Linked DNA regions of Saccharomyces cerevisiae S288C. Changing the gene in region 3 together with the main gene of any one other region gives a genetic interaction. Each region holds a gene or a part of one and is shown on either strand. Other genes may lie near its edges.

Region 1 (4,534 bases), on a different chromosome or scaffold from region 3:
GGGTATACTGTCAACCACAACATTGTCCCGGAAAATGCACCAAATAAGCATAATTTCCAAGGAGGAATTTCGTTTCTTGTTAGTCCCGTACCAATTTCTCTGGCAACCAATGCTTCGTAGACAAGAAAATATGTACCAAGCCCATGTCCGGCTCTTATCATTGTGGGAAATAAACCCCTCATCAATCCACCTTGAGCTTTCAATTTTTTAATACAGTCCCAAGGACCTTTGAATTCTCTGTCTCCACCATTAGATGTTTGCGTCTGCAAACGAATTCTTATTTGTTCAATGGGCGATGCCAAGAATGAATTGACTACACCACCTGTCAACCCACAAACGTAGTACTGGGATAGTGGCAGAGTATTTGAACGTGAAAGATCTACGTCCTGTGAGCTCATATTCGGGTTCTTAGAAGCGTTGTAATTTTGGAAAAATCTTTTCATCGCCTCATTCACACCAAATTGTACTGAGACACATATACCAACACCCAATAACGGTGTTAACGCACCTTTGTAGAATGCAAACACACCCTCATTCTTTACCAAGTTACGCAATACCTCCAACGTTGTTGTTCTTGTGGTGGCTGTTTGAAGCCTAACTTTTGTTGTATCAAACGGTTGCCCTACAAGAACTTGTGCAATACCACCGATGGTACCCGCAAAAATATCCTTCAACACACGATTAGAACTTAACTCTCTCTTCTCATTCGGCGTGGTAACTTTCTGTTGATCTTCCAATTCATCCAAAAGCTGCGGCGTAGGAAATTCTTCACTCATGACTAACTGTAATTGTAATACACGAAATTATTGCGCCGCTTTTTTCTGTTCTTTATGGCTACCCCTATTTATCAATTACAGTTGTATCATCCAAGAGGTGAAAACTAATTAAAGAAACTTATTTTAACACAAGGTATAAAAAATTATAAAAAAGCAATGCTCATTGTCTTCTCTCATCGCGAGCGGCCGTTATCTTCAAAGTGATGACTCTTCGAGATTCCTGCACAACGTCACTCAAAGGCGGCCCGCGACGTTTTCCATTGCGAAATTTTTCACTTTTCACCTTTTGTAAACAAAGAAATAACAATAAGAATGATAAAATTCATCTGTTTATGTACTGTACCTAGTTATTATATGGCTACAACTGAACCTTCTTGAAGCGAGTATGCTACAGAAATCTTGTTTCCCGCACAGTTCCATGACAGATCAAATATATAATCATTGTCTTGGCTGCTTTGGTAGCTAGCGTAGAGGGGAATTGGTAATGGATTCAAAATCCCATCACGGTTACCATAAAGACTTCGTGACTTGCTGTTCAGTTTTTTTAAATCGTAGACGTTTACCTGCCCATCCATGAAAGCAACTGCGTACTTCTGTCCATCTTGTGATATTCTTCCAGCAAAAATTGGGACACCATCCACGATTGATAGAGCCAATAGCGTATTCTGCTTCAGCGACCATAGGCGAACGGAGCCATCCATCGAGCAGGATATTACCTTATCATCACCGACCCATGATGCCGATACTATGCTTTGTGAGTGTCCGTAGAAGCAATTCTGAGAATTGCCGTTACCGCCATGCCATATTCTTAGAGTACCATCGTCTGAGGCACTAAGTAGAAGTTTATTGGTGTCATTGAACTCCAAAACGCTGATAGGTCCATGGTGTCCAATAAGTTTACCAGTGGGCGTTTTTTCTGTAATTTGGTATACAAATATAGCACCTTTAGGGCCAGGAATGACAAATTTGTCATCGTCTACCCATTCAACGTCAACCCCAAGTGAACCATCGCCACTATGGTTCTCTGCGTTGATGGATGAGCCACCGGTTTCTTTTAATTCAAAGTGCTGCATGACGGTCCCGCTTATAACATTCCAGAGTATAGTGACATTTTCCACGTCCATGGATATGATATGTGTTCCATCTTTGTTCCATTTAACGGATACTATAGGTGCTCTATGAAAATTTAAAACATTCAGAAGTGCCCCCGTCTTATTCCATAGTCTTAGCTCACCATTTTCTACACCCGTGACAATTGAATTACCATCGTGTGACCAAGCAAGACATGTGACTTGATTCGTCGTTTTACCACTACTTGCACTCAGAGCAAAAGGATGTCTCAACTCCGCTATTATCGTGAGTTTCCAGTATTTTTTCCCTTCTTGATCGGTTTCTACTATCCTCGCTAGTCTTGCAACAGAATTTTTTTCACCGTATGCGAGTATAGATTCATCCAATGGATTCCAAGTGGAGGAAACAATATTATCTAATTTTACTATCTCCTTCAGTATTTTGACAAATCCGTCTAGGTCATCACTACTGTCAATAGAATTAGTATCGTCCTCTTGGGTTTCTCTTTCAACAGTACTAGCGCCATCTTCACCTGCTTTATTACTCTCGGAATTGGTTTCCAAAGTGAACCTTCCTTCAGAAGAGATCTCAGGAAATTTTTCTTTATCTATTTGCAGCGCCTGAACCAAATTGAAATCTTCAGAAAGATGATGTTCATTTAAAGCGCTGATATCACCTTTACTATCAACCATTAACTCACTTTCTGTATACAAGATTCCCCTTTGTACTAGATTCACCAGTGTACCCAAAGGAATGTGTTCTTTATACTTCTCATCAAATTCCAATACTCTTGTTTCATCCTGCAATGCTAATGCACTCACCTCGTGTCCCATCTCTTGACAATACCTCCATATCAAGTAGTTTAGTTCTTCACTTGTTATACTCATTTTCCGTGTGATGGGCCTTCCCTACCTTTTTTTTGTTTCTGTTATTTTTATCTGAGTTAGCAGTTGTTAGTGTGGGCTGTACACTTCTTTGGAAAAAAAAACCTTCAATTTCGCACCAAGGTGTTTAAATTGTTCTCACTAATTGCAAATCAAAACGAATGGTCTTGCATATCTCATAACCTTTTCAACATGAATACATTCCTAATCATTTTTGTTTATTTCTCGTTTGCTAAGTTCCGCTCCATGAAAATAGATGACTGGAAAAAGAGACTAGAGACTGCAGTTAATAGTATATTTGTAAGACCTTGAGCAAAGCCGAATGAACAAAAAGCCTTCATATTAGACCAGGTAAGAGACTGAAAGTTGAAATATTTGTACTGTGAAAATGGTTGAGTTTTCTTTGAAGAAGGCCAGAAACAATTGGAAGCATGTAAAGAAGTCTGCAAGCTCTCCTGCTAAGCAAAAGACACCTCCATCGCCTGCTAAGCCTAAACAAAAAACAAAAAAGAACCCTTATAGTGATCTCAAGGATCCGGCTACCAGTTATACGCTACCAACAATCAATGCAAGGGAGAGAAGTAGGGTAGCAACTTCAATGCAGAGAAGACTATCAATTCATAATACAAATTATGCTCCACCTACACTAGATTACTCAATGCCCCTACCTGATATGCCAAACATGATAGTTCCCAATGATAATGTGGATAGTAGTCATAATAATAGTAGTTTCACCACTGAGAACGAATCGGTAAGCTCTAAAGGCCCTTCCAACAGTTTAAATCTTTCAACTGCCGATCTCTCCCTGAACGACAGCTCCTATAATAAGGTGCCTGCTAGATCAGCAATGCGAAATACTGTCAATCCTTCCGGCAGTAATGATCCTTTCAATAATAGCACGTCGCTAAGAAAGATGTTGGCAAACCCGCATTTTAATGCTAAAGATTTTGTTCATGATAAACTAGGCAATGCGAGTGCCATTACTATTGATAAATTTACCTCAAATTTAACAGATTTATCGATACAGGTCCAAGAAGAAGTAAAGTTAAATATCAATAAATCATATAACGAAATCATGACGGTAAACAACGACCTAAATGTTGCTATGTTGGAGCTTAAAAGGGTTAGAGCAAATATAAATGATTTAAACGAGGTTTTGGATCAGTGCACCAAAATAGCTGAAAAAAGGTTACAATTGCAGGATCAAATAGATCAAGAGAGACAAGGCAATTTTAACAATGTTGAAAGTCATTCTAATAGTCCAGCGTTACTTCCGCCTTTGAAAGCAGGACAAAATGGGAATCTCATGAGGAGGGACAGATCGAGCGTCTTGATATTAGAGAAATTTTGGGATACGGAACTGGATCAGCTGTTTAAGAACGTTGAAGGTGCTCAGAAGTTTATCAATTCTACGAAAGGAAGACATATTTTAATGAATAGTGCCAATTGGATGGAATTAAATACTACCACTGGTAAACCCTTGCAGATGGTACAGATTTTCATTTTGAATGATTTGGTACTTATCGCCGATAAATCAAGAGATAAGCAAAATGACTTTATAGTAAGCCAGTGCTATCCTTTAAAGGATGTCACTGTCACGCAAGAGGAATTTTCCACTAAGAGGCTACTTTTCAAGTTTAGCAATTCGAATTCAAGTTTGTATGAATGTAGAGACGCAGACGAATGCTCTAGGTTGTTGGACGTTATAAGAAAGGCTAAGGATGATTTGTGCGACATATTCCATGTAGAAGAGGAGAACTCTAAACGTATTAGAGAGTCCTTTAGATATTTGCAATCTACGCA
Region 2 (6,732 bases), on a different chromosome or scaffold from region 3:
AAGCTTTGGCTTCCCTGGAAAATGCTGATTCCGCACCATTTCATTATGGCACGCATTATTCCTCAGCTATGATAGTATCTTCATATCTGATAAGGCTGAAGCCCTTTGTCGAATCCTTTTTGTTATTGCAAGGCGGAAGTTTTGGCCCTGCAGATCGTTTATTTAGTTCGCTTGAAAGGGCCTGGAGCTCTGCTTCTTCTGAAAATACAACGGATGTCAGGGAATTGACACCTGAATTTTTTTTTCTACCTGAATTTTTGATCAACGTTAATAGTTATGACTTTGGTACAGACCAAAGCGGTAAAAAAGTTGACGACGTCGTACTTCCACCCTGGGCAAATGGTGACCCAAAGGTTTTCATTCAAAAGAATAGAGAAGCTTTAGAAAGTCCTTATGTATCAGCACATTTACATGAATGGATTGATTTGATATTTGGTTACAAACAAAAGGGGGACATTGCTGTGAAATCTGTTAACGTATTCAACAGATTGAGTTACCCAGGCGCTGTAAATCTAGATAACATTGACGATGAAAATGAGCGCAGAGCTATCACAGGCATTATTCACAACTTTGGTCAAACGCCTTTACAAATATTTCAGGAACCTCATCCGGAAAAAATAGCCTGCAATGTTCAACAGCTAACAACAGAGGTATGGCGTAAGGTTCCAATGAAGCCAATATTTGAGAAGACAATCTTTAATTTGAATGAAAAGAACAGGTCCGTCGATTATGTTATACACGATCCTAGTTACTTCGATTCATTATACTGGAGGGGCTTCGCTTTCCCAAACTTGTTTTTCAGAACGGAAGAATCGTTAGTGTCATTGAGAATTGTGCATAAAAATTGGTTAAAAATTGGACTAGATATTTTTAAAAAGACGCATATGGCTCAGATTACATCGTTTGCGTACTGGAAGTTGGGCGAATTCATAACTGGCGATAAAAATGGGCTGATAAAAGTTTGGAAATATCGTAAAGATAAGCATTCGGTTTCAGGTAACCTTGAGAACAAAAAAACAATGTTTGGGCACCTATGCGAGCTAAAGGAGATGCGCTGTTATCACGACTACAATACGCTTTTAACCTTAGACATCAGCGGCTTAGTATATGTCTGGGACATGATTAATTTCGAACTAGTAAGGCAAATAACAAATGATGCGCAAAAGGTCGCAATATCTCAACATGCAGGGAGCATTATGGTATTGACTAAGAATAACGCCATTTCGATCTTCAATCTAAATGGACAAATATATACATCAAAGAAATTCGAACCAGCTAAAATTGTAAGCTCAATTGATTTTTTTGACTTCACTAAGTTAGACGCAGGTTACAGAAAGCATATCTATTGGAAAGAGATGGAAATACTACTAGTGGGCTTTGAAGATGGAACTATAGAAATTTACGAGCTCTTTTTGAATTTTCATAATGAATGGGCGATAAAGCTACTGAAGCAGCTCTGTACCGAAAAAGGGAAAGCCATAACTAGCATTAAGGGACAGGGGAAGACATACCTGTCCCAGAAAAGACGCAAGGATACAGCAGAGCCTCATGAGATAGAAGTGATTGCGGGAACATTAGATGGCAGATTAGCTATTTGGTACTAGGCATCACATCGTAACGCCTTTCTTTAAATGATTCAATTTTTGTAGTTTATATCTTTACTTTTGAAACTGATTTCTCATCCCATCTAGTATTGTAATTGCGTACGTATCCAATATCATTACCAACGCCGGGTATTTTTTTCTAGTATTTCTTCTCCATTTCGCCTATGGAAAACGGCAAAAGGGTAAAAGAAAAAAACAAACGATTAATTCTTCTTTGAATTATGTAAAAATCAAAACGCAACCGCAGATTTAATAGAGACCAGAAATTCGGATTACTATTGACTTTGTGCACCACCTTCAAATTTACTCATTGTTTAAGACAGGCAGTGGGAAAGAAGCCGTCATATTGCTCGAATCCTTAACAAGCAAAATATACAACCACTAAATTATTCCGAAAGGGCCTGCTTAATAATTTGCCTACTAACTTGTGCATAGAACAGCAAACAGAAACAAAGCGTAAGAAACATGGGGTATCCGCCACCTACACGAAGGCTTGGAGATAAGAAAAGGTACCATTATTCCAATAATCCTAACCGAAGGCATCCTTCCGCTGTTTATTCCAAGAATAGCTTTCCAAAATCAAGCAATAATGGATTTGTATCTTCTCCTACTGCCGATAATTCAACAAATCCGTCTGTAACTCCCAGTACTGCATCTGTACCTCTTCCTACAGCGGCACCTGGAAGCACGTTTGGTATCGAAGCACCCAGGCCATCTCGATATGATCCGAGCTCAGTCAGTAGGCCTTCGTCATCATCTTATTCGTCAACAAGAAAAATTGGAAGCCGTTATAACCCAGATGTGGAAAGATCCTCTTCAACCACTAGTTCAACTCCGGAAAGTATGAATACGAGCACCATAACACACACCAATACGGATATCGGAAACTCACGCTATTCTCGAAAAACCATGAGCAGATATAATCCTCAATCTACTAGTTCTACAAACGTTACCCACTTTCCCTCGGCATTATCAAACGCTCCACCGTTTTATGTTGCCAACGGGAGTTCTCGGAGACCTCGATCAATGGATGATTATAGTCCTGATGTAACGAACAAGCTCGAAACAAATAATGTTTCATCTGTTAATAATAACAGCCCTCATTCTTATTACTCTAGGAGCAACAAATGGAGATCCATTGGAACGCCTTCCAGACCACCATTTGATAATCATGTCGGCAATATGACGACCACCAGCAATACTAACTCGATCCATCAAAGGGAACCTTTTTGGAAAGCAAATAGTACTACTATTTTAAAATCAACTCATTCACAGTCATCGCCTTCCCTTCATACTAAAAAATTTCACGATGCGAATAAATTGGACAAACCAGAGGCTTCAGTTAAAGTTGAAACACCCAGTAAAGATGAGACAAAAGCCATATCGTACCATGATAACAATTTTCCACCAAGAAAATCAGTTTCTAAACCTAATGCACCTTTAGAACCCGATAATATCAAGGTTGGCGAAGAAGATGCATTGGGGAAAAAAGAAGTACATAAAAGTGGGCGTGAGATAGCAAAGGAACATCCTACTCCTGTAAAAATGAAAGAGCATGATGAACTAGAAGCTCGCGCTAAAAAAGTAAGTAAAATCAATATTGATGGAAAGCAGGACGAAATTTGGACGACGGCAAAAACAGTGGCCAGTGCAGTCGAAGTTTCCAAAGAAAGTCAAAAGGAACTAACACGCTCTGTTGAAAGGAAGGAAAGCCCAGAAATTAGAGATTATGAAAGAGCATACGATCCGAAAGCCCTGAAAACAGACGTAACAAAGTTGACAGTAGACAATGATAATAAAAGTTACGAAGAACCTCTTGAAAAAGTGGAGGGGTGTATTTTCCCATTACCAAAAGCAGAAACGAGATTATGGGAATTGAAAAACCAGAAAAGAAACAAAATAATAAGTGAACAAAAGTACTTACTGAAAAAGGCAATTAGGAATTTCTCAGAGTATCCTTTTTACGCACAGAACAAACTTATACATCAGCAGGCTACCGGACTTATCTTGACGAAAATTATATCAAAGATAAAAAAGGAAGAACATTTGAAAAAAATAAATTTAAAACATGATTATTTCGATCTCCAGAAGAAGTATGAAAAAGAATGCGAAATTTTGACTAAACTGAGTGAAAATTTAAGGAAGGAAGAAATCGAAAATAAACGTAAAGAGCACGAACTAATGGAGCAGAAAAGACGTGAAGAAGGTATCGAAACAGAAAAGGAAAAAAGCTTACGGCATCCATCCTCGTCTTCCTCATCTCGTCGCAGAAATAGGGCTGACTTCGTTGATGATGCGGAAATGGAAAATGTATTGCTACAAATCGACCCAAATTATAAACATTATCAGGCTGCTGCAACAATTCCTCCGCTAATTTTAGATCCAATCCGCAAACACTCTTACAAATTCTGTGATGTAAATAACTTGGTTACAGACAAAAAGCTTTGGGCGTCTAGAATATTGAAAGACGCCTCTGACAACTTTACTGACCATGAGCACTCTTTATTTTTGGAGGGTTATTTAATTCATCCTAAAAAATTTGGTAAAATTTCTCACTACATGGGCGGCTTAAGAAGTCCTGAAGAGTGTGTCCTACATTATTATAGAACAAAGAAAACTGTGAATTATAAACAACTTCTTATCGATAAGAACAAGAAAAGAAAAATGTCAGCCGCTGCCAAGCGCCGCAAGAGGAAGGAAAGAAGTAATGACGAGGAAGTCGAAGTTGATGAGAGTAAAGAAGAGTCAACGAACACGATAGAGAAGGAAGAAAAAAGTGAGAACAATGCCGAGGAAAATGTTCAGCCGGTTCTAGTTCAAGGTTCTGAAGTGAAAGGTGATCCATTAGGTACACCGGAAAAAGTTGAAAATATGATTGAACAGAGAGGCGAAGAGTTTGCAGGTGAATTGGAAAATGCTGAGAGGGTAAACGACTTAAAAAGGGCGCATGATGAAGTTGGAGAAGAGAGCAATAAGTCCAGTGTAATAGAAACCAACAATGGGGTACAAATAATGGATCCAAAAGGAGCTGTTCAGAATGGTTATTATCCAGAGGAGACCAAAGAACTTGACTTCAGTTTAGAGAATGCGTTACAGAGAAAGAAACACAAATCTGCACCAGAGCATAAAACAAGTTATTGGAGTGTTCGTGAATCTCAACTCTTTCCAGAATTGTTGAAGGAGTTTGGCTCTCAATGGTCTCTCATATCAGAAAAACTGGGTACCAAATCTACTACAATGGTAAGGAATTACTACCAAAGAAATGCAGCTCGCAATGGATGGAAATTACTGGTTGATGAAACCGACTTAAAGCGAGATGGGACTAGTTCAGAATCTGTACAACAATCTCAAATTTTGATACAACCAGAACGACCAAACATCAATGCCTATAGTAATATTCCTCCTCAACAAAGACCGGCTTTGGGTTATTTTGTTGGACAACCAACTCATGGGCATAATACATCTATTTCATCTATCGATGGCTCTATAAGACCATTTGGGCCTGATTTTCATCGTGATACCTTTTCTAAAATTAGTGCTCCTTTAACCACTTTACCACCACCAAGACTACCATCTATTCAGTTTCCTCGTTCAGAAATGGCAGAACCTACAGTGACAGATTTGCGTAACAGGCCCTTAGACCATATTGACACGTTGGCTGATGCAGCTTCGTCAGTAACAAATAATCAAAACTTCAGTAATGAAAGGAATGCAATTGACATTGGCCGTAAATCGACGACAATCAGCAATCTATTGAATAATTCGGATCGAAGCATGAAATCTTCTTTCCAAAGCGCTTCAAGACACGAAGCACAGCTCGAAGACACTCCCAGCATGAACAATATTGTAGTACAAGAAATAAAACCGAATATTACTACGCCAAGATCGAGTTCTATTTCTGCATTACTAAATCCTGTAAATGGGAATGGGCAATCAAACCCAGATGGAAGGCCGTTGCTGCCATTTCAGCATGCTATTTCTCAAGGCACTCCTACTTTCCCTTTACCGGCCCCTCGCACTAGTCCAATAAGTCGTGCGCCTCCAAAGTTCAATTTTTCGAATGATCCGTTGGCAGCTTTGGCTGCGGTTGCCTCCGCGCCAGATGCAATGAGCAGTTTTTTATCTAAAAAGGAAAATAATAATTGAACAAACGGCTGAGACGGGCAATACATATGCTCTACTTCTTTTCCATCCAATGGTTGGTGAAACTCTCGAGCATACATTACCTTACGTGTGTTAGTGTACTATATTATATATATATATATGTATATATATAAAGGGAGGAGTTTTTAATTATAATTGTAATTTCGTATTTTTTCTGCATTATACAGTTTTTTCCGATTTTAAACGACTTTATTTAAGTGTCGTGTAAATATGTCACATTTTATTTTTGTACGTATTCACATGTCCTGGCGTGCGGCCATTGCTGAAAATCGCAAAACCCACAGAGAAATAAACATCGCGAAAAAGTCAATGAAAAATTGGAAAATATTTTTCATTTCACTATTATCCACAAGCAATTTTGTACAAAGTGAAAAGGTTGAACTAATTATCTTCGTCTAGAAGCCATGAATTCACTCGTTACTCAATATGCTGCTCCGTTGTTCGAGCGTTATCCCCAACTTCATGACTATTTACCAACTTTGGAGCGACCATTTTTTAATATTTCGTTGTGGGAACATTTCGATGATGTCGTCACTCGTGTAACTAACGGTAGATTTGTTCCAAGCGAATTCCAATTCATTGCAGGTGAATTACCATTAAGCACTTTGCCCCCTGTGCTATACGCCATCACTGCCTATTACGTTATTATTTTTGGTGGCAGGTTTTTGTTAAGTAAGTCGAAACCATTTAAATTAAATGGCCTTTTCCAATTGCATAATTTGGTTTTAACTTCACTTTCATTGACGCTTTTATTGCTTATGGTTGAACAATTAGTGCCAATTATTGTTCAGCACGGGTTATACTTCGCTATCTGTAATATTGGTGCTTGGACTCAACCGCTCGTTACATTATATTACATGAATTACATTGTCAAGTTTATTGAATTTATAGACACCTTTTTCTTGGTGCTAAAACATAAAAAATTGACATTTTTGCATACTTATCACCATGGCGCTACTGCCTT
Region 3 (4,762 bases):
AAGAAAATGTTGCCCGGCTGAAAAACACCCGTTCCTCTCACTGCCGCACCGCCCGATGCCAATTTAATAGTTCCACGTGGACGTGTTATTTCCAGCACGTGGGGCGGAAATTAGCGACGGCAATTGATTATGGTTCGCCGCAGTCCATCGAAATCAGTGAGATCGGTGCAGTTATGCACCAAATGTCGTGTGAAAGGCTTTCCTTATCCCTCTTCTCCCGTTTTGCCTGCTTATTAGCTAGATTAAAAACGTGCGTATTACTCATTAATTAACCGACCTCATCTATGAGCTAATTATTATTCCTTTTTGGCAGCATGATGCAACCACATTGCACACCGGTAATGCCAACTTAGATCCACTTACTATTGTGGCTCGTATACGTATATATATAAGCTCATCCTCATCTCTTGTATAAAGTAAAGTTCTAAGTTCACTTCTAAATTTTATCTTTCCTCATCTCGTAGATCACCAGGGCACACAACAAACAAAACTCCACGAATACAATCCAAATGAGTTCCGTCAATAAAGATACTATTCATGTTGCTGAAAGAAGTCTTCATAAAGAACACCTTACCGAAGGTGGTAACATGGCCTTCCACAACCATTTGAATGATTTTGCTCATATTGAAGATCCTCTGGAAAGAAGAAGATTGGCTTTGGAGTCCATCGATGACGAAGGTTTCGGTTGGCAACAAGTTAAGACCATCTCCATTGCTGGTGTTGGTTTCTTGACAGATTCTTATGATATTTTTGCCATTAATTTGGGTATCACTATGATGTCCTACGTTTACTGGCACGGTAGTATGCCAGGTCCAAGTCAAACCTTGTTGAAGGTTTCCACTTCTGTTGGTACTGTTATTGGTCAATTTGGTTTTGGTACTTTAGCTGATATTGTTGGTCGTAAGAGAATTTATGGTATGGAACTTATTATCATGATTGTCTGTACCATTCTGCAAACCACTGTTGCTCATTCTCCTGCTATTAACTTCGTTGCTGTTTTAACATTCTACCGTATTGTCATGGGTATTGGTATCGGTGGTGACTACCCACTATCTTCTATTATTACTTCTGAATTTGCCACTACCAAATGGAGAGGTGCCATCATGGGTGCTGTCTTTGCTAACCAAGCTTGGGGTCAAATCTCCGGTGGTATCATCGCTCTTATCTTGGTTGCTGCTTACAAGGGCGAACTAGAATACGCAAACTCTGGTGCTGAATGTGATGCTAGATGTCAAAAGGCTTGTGACCAAATGTGGAGAATCCTTATTGGGTTGGGTACCGTTCTAGGGTTGGCATGTTTGTATTTCAGATTAACTATTCCAGAATCTCCTAGATATCAATTGGATGTTAACGCTAAGTTGGAACTTGCTGCTGCCGCACAAGAACAAGATGGCGAAAAGAAAATTCACGACACCAGTGATGAAGACATGGCAATTAACGGTTTGGAAAGAGCTTCTACTGCCGTCGAATCTCTTGACAATCATCCTCCAAAGGCTTCGTTCAAAGATTTCTGCAGACATTTTGGTCAATGGAAGTACGGTAAGATTTTGCTAGGTACTGCTGGTTCATGGTTTACCTTAGATGTTGCTTTCTACGGGTTGAGTTTAAACAGTGCTGTTATTCTGCAAACCATCGGTTATGCCGGTTCCAAAAACGTTTACAAGAAACTGTATGATACTGCTGTCGGTAATCTGATTTTGATTTGTGCTGGTTCATTACCTGGTTACTGGGTATCCGTCTTCACTGTCGATATAATCGGTAGAAAACCAATTCAATTAGCCGGTTTCATCATCTTGACCGCTTTGTTCTGTGTCATCGGTTTCGCATACCATAAACTTGGTGACCATGGTCTGTTGGCTCTTTACGTCATTTGTCAATTCTTCCAAAACTTCGGTCCAAACACAACCACCTTTATTGTTCCTGGTGAGTGTTTCCCAACTCGTTACAGATCTACTGCTCATGGTATTTCTGCTGCATCTGGTAAGGTCGGTGCCATTATTGCACAAACCGCTTTGGGTACTCTAATCGACCATAACTGTGCTAGAGACGGTAAGCCAACCAACTGTTGGTTACCTCACGTCATGGAAATTTTCGCCTTATTCATGTTGTTGGGTATCTTCACAACCTTGTTGATCCCAGAAACTAAGAGAAAGACTCTAGAAGAAATTAACGAGCTATACCACGATGAAATCGATCCTGCTACGCTAAACTTCAGAAACAAGAATAATGACATTGAATCTTCCAGCCCATCTCAACTTCAACATGAAGCATAAAAGCCTCAAAGATGCACTAAAACTTGTAAACTAGAACAAATAATACAAAAACATTTTTATAAACTTATTATCAAACCCCTTACATAATCTATAAATACTGTCAGGTTACATATTTATTCGATAATTTCTTTTAATTTCATTATTTCCTCACATCTCTCTGCCATCCTGTTGGCTGGTGCCAGAGCAGAGCATATCGTCCTTTCTTTTTTAGTTCCAGACGTTACCCGACATATCATTTCTCGAGCCTCTGGAAACCACGAAACGTTTTACAAATTGCACATCTAAAAGAAATATAAACACAGATCAGGTATCTCATAAAGTACATTAATCGACTAAGCAAGCGACTTGAGACAATGAGAGAGGTCATTAGTATTAATGGTATGTATGCGTTCCTTTTTTTGTTCAATATTCGCAACCAATGGCACCTGTGGGACAGGGAAAGAAGTTTGATCTGATCTGGTTTGATTCATTCCCAATTGGTCACCATCTGGTTGATTTACGGCAAATAATTTGACTTGTACCAGCACAGTTTACTAACAGTTTCTTTTTCTCCATTTTTTCTGGGCATACTCGGACGAAAAAGCTCATAATTGACCTCATTACATGGGGAGTGATTTTTGTGTCTTCTTCTTCGGAGGATTGCTGGAACTTTTGTTATTTTTCTTTTTTACAACAGTTGGTCAAGCAGGTTGTCAAATAGGTAATGCATGCTGGGAATTGTACTCCCTAGAGCATGGCATCAAGGAAGACGGCCATTTGGAGGATGGCTTGTCAAAACCTAAGGGAGGTGAAGAAGGATTTTCTACATTCTTCCATGAAACGGGGTACGGAAAATTCGTCCCAAGAGCAATCTACGTGGATTTAGAGCCCAATGTTATCGATGAAGTACGTACAGGACGTTTCAAGGAGCTTTTCCATCCAGAACAATTGATTAACGGTAAGGAAGATGCCGCCAATAACTACGCAAGAGGCCATTATACAGTGGGTAGAGAAATAGTGGATGAAGTTGAAGAAAGAATTAGAAAGATGGCCGACCAATGTGACGGTTTACAAGGGTTCTTGTTCACCCACTCCCTCGGTGGTGGAACTGGTTCCGGTTTAGGTTCCCTGTTATTAGAAAACTTATCGTATGAATACGGGAAGAAATCCAAATTGGAATTCGCCGTTTATCCTGCGCCTCAATTGTCTACTTCCGTCGTGGAACCTTACAACACGGTTTTAACCACGCATACCACCCTGGAACACGCAGACTGTACGTTTATGGTCGATAACGAAGCCATTTACGATATATGCAAGAGGAACTTGGGAATTTCTAGACCAAGCTTCAGCAACTTGAACGGGTTGATTGCCCAAGTGATATCATCTGTTACAGCCTCTTTGAGGTTCGATGGTTCATTAAACGTGGATTTGAACGAATTTCAGACCAACTTGGTACCATATCCAAGAATTCATTTCCCTTTGGTTTCCTACGCACCCATCTTGTCCAAGAAGAGGGCCACCCATGAATCCAACTCCGTGTCAGAAATCACAAACGCTTGTTTCGAACCGGGCAATCAAATGGTTAAGTGTGACCCAACAAAGGGGAAGTACATGGCTAACTGTTTGTTATACAGAGGTGACGTGGTGACCAGAGATGTCCAAAGAGCCGTCGAACAGGTGAAGAATAAAAAAACAGTACAAATGGTGGATTGGTGTCCAACAGGATTTAAGATTGGTATTTGTTATGAGCCACCAAGTGTGATACCAAGTTCCGAATTAGCCAATGTGGATAGAGCTGTCTGCATGCTATCCAACACCACTGCCATCGCGGACGCTTGGAAGAGAATCGATCAGAAATTCGACCTGATGTATGCCAAACGTGCTTTCGTCCATTGGTATGTCGGTGAAGGTATGGAAGAAGGTGAGTTCACCGAAGCTAGAGAAGATTTAGCTGCCTTAGAAAGAGATTATATTGAAGTGGGTGCCGATTCTTACGCTGAGGAGTTCTAAGAAAGTGGCTCTGATCCCGATACCCACTTATAGATTTATATTTACTTAATGTCCATATGTATATACATATATATATATATATATATATACGCTTATATATATATATGCATATTCTATCCAAATAAAGATACCTCTAATTATCGAATTATTTTTCACTTACCTTTAGGTGTACAGTTAGAACAATAGCTTATTAAATTTATTTTTTTCCCTATGTTCCGCGGAATATTGAAAAATTTGAAAATATTCTAAGACAAAAATACCCATAAAAAACAAAGAGTTTTGAGCTCATCTCGTTGCCACCCAAACTTATCACAAAAAAGGAAGCACTCCAAGAACCGCGTGAAGAAAATGTCAAAAGAAGACATAGAAGGAACTAACATTCTAGACGAACCTGTCCACGGGATCTATATTCCTGCCGCGCTATTCGTTGTTGGTGTTGCAATCACCACGTATATGTCTGGTGAATTGAAAATCCTGTGGAGTTTACCCATTCTCTTCAT
Region 4 (4,804 bases), on a different chromosome or scaffold from region 3:
AGGAAGATCGTAGGGATGTATAACTTTGAATTATTTCACTGACCAGGAACTCACTTCTCAGCAAGGACTCTCTGAACTCGAAAAGGCAGAGAGGACAATTTGGTTGGTTATTCAAATGTGTTCTAATACAAAGGGAACAAAATGTATGGCCACAAGGTGTTAAGACGGGGACTTTTAGAAAATCTTTACAAATGTGACATCTCAAAAGTGTATCCAATTGGTACAGGCTCGGTATTGAAGTAGTCGTGAAGTCGCTTGCAGTGGTTATTTGGTGGTCCATGAGTAGTAAAAATGGCCTTTTCTTAGTAGCTGTGATGCTCACTTGCGGATGGTTTTTCTTCTAATGTGGCATTGCTCAAGTGGTACTTAGTTTTTCACTTTCTATTGAAAAATGCAAGGCAACGGGGCAAGTAAAAATAAAAGAGATCAAAAAGGTAAGTGAAGTGAATGGAAACTTCAGCTAAATACTGTATTAAAAATCCGTAAGGATCAAAAATAAAGATATGTAAAATATAAAACTTAGAAAAAAAATTTGTATCATTTTTGTTATGATTACAATTTTTTCCTGCCTCTTCTGCAATTGATTATACCATAGAAGAGCGGGAAAAGAAGTTAGTTGACCCGACAATACAATAAGATTAAAAAGAAAATGCTATGTGATATGATAACTCCAGCCCAGTTTAGGACTCATCCAACCGTTTGCGATGAATCCATCAGATTAAGAATAATTAGTTTTCGGTGAGGAAAAGAAAATGAAAAAAAAAAAAAAAAAAAGTCAATTCTTTTCATTACCGCTATCGTTGGAAGGGTGATTATGATAAGGATGATGTTTTTGATTGCTATCCGTAGTATTGTTACCATCAGAAATCTTTTCAGTTGCGCGCTTCCAAACAGAATAAACATCCACGCCAAACAGCCCGCTTGAAGCAAATTTGGAATTCGTTGCGCTTGTGAGGACATCGGGTGCAGAGGACTTTCTTGGTGAAATTTGGGTTTCCAAAGTGCCCCCCGGCGTCGTGATATACCTGATTGGAGTCTCTATAGCTCTAAATAGCGGAGAACAGTACAAATCTTCAAAAAGGTGTGAAGGAGTCTGCCATTTCCTCAAAATCGAGTTACCGTCCTTAGGTGTGCTTATCAACCGCGATGGGGTTTTCTCTAAGCCATCGGAATGCCTCATCTTGGGTGTTTTAAGTAAGTCCGAACCATGAGAGGAAGGTGGAGGTGGAAGTTGAGAATTGGAATATGATTGCTGAGATTGTGGTTTCGACATGAGCGCAAGATTTTTCTGATCGTACAGCTTCAATGGGGAATACGGAAGTGGGTCGAGTAGAGAACCAGCCCCTACATTACTTCGAAGTGGAGATAAATCTTCAAAATTTGAATTGAATGAGGTGAAATATTTTCTGAAATTCTGAGGAGACTTTGCGCTAGTTATAGGGAGTGTATTAAATCTATTTGCCTGGGTGATATTATTGTTTTTCACACCCGCCTGGAAATGATCTTTGGCATTCACCAGCGACGGTAAGCCTAAAGAAGTATGATATTTCTTCATGACATAAGGAGGTTCCAAGGAATCTATATTGTTGACATCGTTTTCTATCATGTTCCGCATCGATTCTAGGTTTTCGTGAGGGTTCAGTACACTGTTGTCTGTTTTCAATTGCGGTATGTGATGTAACTGGGAAACTCTCAGTATAGGGGAGGAGTTCAATTGAATTTCAATGGAAGGGAATTTCCCTGCTTCCTCTCTTTCTTCCTCGTCAGGAAGATCATCATTGCCTTCTCCACTCTCAACTTGTTCTAATTCATCAAGTGTAGAATCTATTTCAAAATACTTCCCAATGTCTTGTAAGGAGTCCTTTACAAATTCATAACCACGATTTTCACCTTTGAAAAATTTTGTTTCGGCACCCGGTCTGACCTCCCAGAAATGACCCTTACCATCGCAGGACTTTTCAGTCTTGATGAACGCATCATTTAAAGACAAGTTATGTCTTATTGAATTTTGCCAACTAGCATCTTTCTGCTTGTAATAAGGGAAGTGAACGTGGATCCAATGATATATCTGGGATAGCGTTAGCTTTCCCTCCTGAGATTGCAAAATGGCCAAGCAAATCAAAGTTGCATACGAATATGGAGGTTTCTTGGCGAGTTCACCATTTATTCTTCTTCTTTCCAAAGATTGAAGAATTTCTTCCAAGGTTAGGTTACCATTGGACCGAGCGCATGTGTCCGATCTTTGGCGCTTGGCCTTAGATGGAGCAATTGGGGACGAGTGATCCGGTGAGAGGGGATGCGACGGCCTCTTATTTACTTCCTTCATTGTTTTTCTCACAGTTGAGCTCGGGGGAGTAATCATTTCCTTTTCGTCTTCTAGTGTTCTCTTGGCTTGGGTTAATAGCACGGTGCTTTTTTCCGTTAAAAAACTATTATGGCCATCAATGATGGATATGTCTTCATTCATCATTGAAAAGTTGGAATTTTTGTTGATTTTTTTTTTTTTTGCTTCGAAATAAGAGGTAGTTTCGGTCAATAAAAGAAGCTCAAATAGTAGATGTAACTATAATAAAAGGGGGGAAAAGAATAGAATACGATTTAAAGCGTTGGAACCTCTGTTAAGATATACTCTATATGATTTTCAATTAATCATGCAACATATATTTAAAGTTTGAGAAGGATCAAAGGGCACCGTAAGGGAGGAGAAGAAGTAATTTTTTGATTTTAAATGAGGACGCGTTTTAGTCAGTGTTTCAGATCCTTATTACATCCACAGGTTTTAACGCGTTATCTTTGTTCCGAAAAAAAAAAAAAACGGAAAAATATATTTTTTCGCGTCGCGTTCTCGCGTCTGTTTTGTTTTTTCGCGTTCCAATGACCAAAATGGGAAAGTGGTCGTCTTTGACGAAGGAGACGAAAACCTCTTCTAAAACGTTGGGAGAGAGATAATTACATGGCCAGAACAATACTGCAACGTGCATATAGTCGTTAGTCTGTGCTTGCACATCCACGGCAGCCGCAGTGGACGCACTGATGGAAGGACACCTGTGTGCCCTTTTTGCGTGCTTCTTCCTCTAACTGTGCACGAGGCACCCTGCAGATGCAAGTGCTACCGTTGTTAGTTTCGTTCTTTTGAATGCAGCGCAGACAGCACAGTTTTTCATACCCGGTTTTGCGCCATTTGGCAATTAGCAATTTATCAGCATACTTTTCCTTTATCAACCAATCGTAAAGGTCTTTGGAGATGGCCTTTCTCTTGTAGTACAGAGTATATATGTATCTAGAGCGCTGGTGGTGGAGTTGCATTATCTCCCAGAGCTGCTCATTGGACTTTGCTGCGAGCTTAGACGACTTGTCCTTTTGGGCATCTCTGAGTTGGATTTCGAAATCTGTGAGGGTTGGCTTGATTTTTTCGAACCCGTCAGGTGCAGGCTTGGATCTTCTGGTCTTTATGCGCGGCATGTCGTTTTGTGAGGTGAGCTTTGCTAGTCTTGACGGCTGTAGAGGTGTTTACATTGATGATGAGTCCCTAAGAAAATTTTTCTTTTTTTTTCAGTATTTCACTTTCCGTTGTGAACGACAAATGTACTATGCGTTCAAGAGCCAACGCAGTATCATCGTCAAAGTTCCTACCACAACGCGTGTGATTGATCTTGTACTGGTTGTAAATGTGCTAAGTCTGTGACTGCAGTGAATAGGATTGTTTTAATCAACGATGTTATTTAAAAAAAATTAAACGACACCAGCAGGATTTGAACCAGCGCGGGCAGAGCCCAAGAGATAGCCGAACTTTTTATTCCATTCGAGTCTCTCGCCTTAACCACTCGGCCATAGTGCCATTTCGATTTGAAATTATGGTTTAAAGCGGTAGGTTTTATACATGTTTCTAGGCGTTTTTTCACAGATCCAAGACAGTAGAGCAGCTTGGCGTAGGTAGGATGGTGAGTAGAAAAACTAAAAAAAGAAAAAAGGAAGGAAGAACTTATTATACATTATGTAGAGTAACTAATTTTCATGTCTTTTGTGGATTATTTTACATTCTCAGAGAGAACCTCCAGTAGAGTCATTATACATAATATATTCACTTTTATCAGGTATGGGCCCTCAATAATCGTCATTGAACTCAATTCCAATGAGATCTTGCTTATTCATTTTTATAAATTTTGAGGAAGCGATAACGCATTCAGAATTGACTGAATGCTGGATAAACTAATAATTAAGAATTAAAAAGTAGGTGAGGAAAAGTAAAGCATATAAGCTTCTCACTCAAAGATGAGGGGGGGGTGAAAAAAAAAAGAAAAAAGAAAAGCCATTATGGCGGTTAAAGACTGGTTTTCCTGGTTTTGATGAGCCAGTCTTTCCAAATAAATAAAATCATTTCCCAAGCCATCAACAAAGAAACGAATCCAACACTGAGGTTGAAAGTGAACATGGGGGTAAACCCCCTATATTCCATGGCTTCAATGGACTGATCCGTGGACTCCATAAATACCAGACCACCACAGAGGAGACAGAACGAGGTGATCAACTCCGTGAAAGGCTTGGATGCGGCACTGTTGGTGTTGGGCACCAAAAACAGAATCAAAAATGTTAGCAGACGGAAGAAGGACCCATAGGACAACAAGTATCCCCATTGCGTGTGAATGGTAGTAGAAAATTGCGAGGACTGTGCGTGCTGGGACATCAGAATCCCAGTCCAAAATATGGTGAAAGCGGGGAACGGGTTTGGAGAGTACCCCGGTGTGGCAGCAACTACATCGGTCTGTGGCCGTTTGCGGGCATGCTCGAATCGCCAATGGTTGAG

What was found.
Region 1: mutations in TUB3 (region 3) and SIF2 together harm fitness more than expected from each alone (negative genetic interaction), as found in Saccharomyces cerevisiae (3 studies listed by BioGRID).
Region 2: mutations in TUB3 (region 3) and SNT1 together harm fitness more than expected from each alone (negative genetic interaction), as found in Saccharomyces cerevisiae (3 studies listed by BioGRID).
Region 4: mutations in TUB3 (region 3) and HCM1 together harm fitness more than expected from each alone (negative genetic interaction), as found in Saccharomyces cerevisiae (4 studies listed by BioGRID).

Annotation. Positions count from the first base shown.
Region 1 is NC_001134.8:445,909-450,442, reverse strand, and holds SIF2 (Sif2p), read right to left. Parts: upstream 2,735-4,534; coding exon 1,127-2,734; downstream 1-1,126. Other genes in the region: YMC2 (organic acid transporter), read right to left, coding at 1-776; exocyst subunit EXO84, read left to right, coding at 3,120-4,534. UniProt on the Saccharomyces cerevisiae protein: Antagonizes telomeric silencing in yeast. May recruit SIR4 to non-telomeric sites or repression.
Region 2 is NC_001135.5:184,420-191,151, forward strand, and holds SNT1 (Snt1p), read left to right. Parts: upstream 1-2,069; coding exon 2,070-5,750; downstream 5,751-6,732. Other genes in the region: BPH1 (Bph1p), read left to right, coding at 1-1,604; fatty acid elongase ELO2, read left to right, coding at 6,173-6,732. UniProt on the Saccharomyces cerevisiae protein: Part of the Set3C complex, which is required to repress early/middle sporulation genes during meiosis.
Region 3 is NC_001145.3:21,548-26,309, reverse strand, and holds TUB3 (alpha-tubulin TUB3), read left to right. Parts: upstream 1-2,626; coding exon 2,627-2,651; exon of another isoform or gene 2,652-2,746; intron 2,747-2,949; coding exon 2,950-4,262; downstream 4,263-4,762. Other genes in the region: YML122C (uncharacterized protein), read left to right, coding at 1-272; phosphate transporter PHO84, read left to right, coding at 510-2,273; PGA3 (cytochrome-b5 reductase), read left to right, coding at 4,611-4,762. UniProt on the Saccharomyces cerevisiae protein: Tubulin is the major constituent of microtubules, a cylinder consisting of laterally associated linear protofilaments composed of alpha- and beta-tubulin heterodimers.
Region 4 is NC_001135.5:226,976-231,779, reverse strand, and holds HCM1 (Hcm1p), read right to left. Parts: upstream 2,471-4,804; coding exon 776-2,470; downstream 1-775. Other genes in the region: E3 ubiquitin-protein ligase RAD18, read right to left, coding at 1-280; U2 snRNP complex subunit BUD31, read right to left, coding at 2,989-3,462; TVS1 (Tvs1p), read right to left, coding at 4,322-4,804. UniProt on the Saccharomyces cerevisiae protein: Transcription factor regulating the cell cycle specific transcription of a spindle pole body (SPB) calmodulin binding protein SPC110. Required for full induction of SPC110 transcription in late G1. Binds to DNA consensus sequence 5'-[AT]AA[TC]AAACAA[AT]-3'.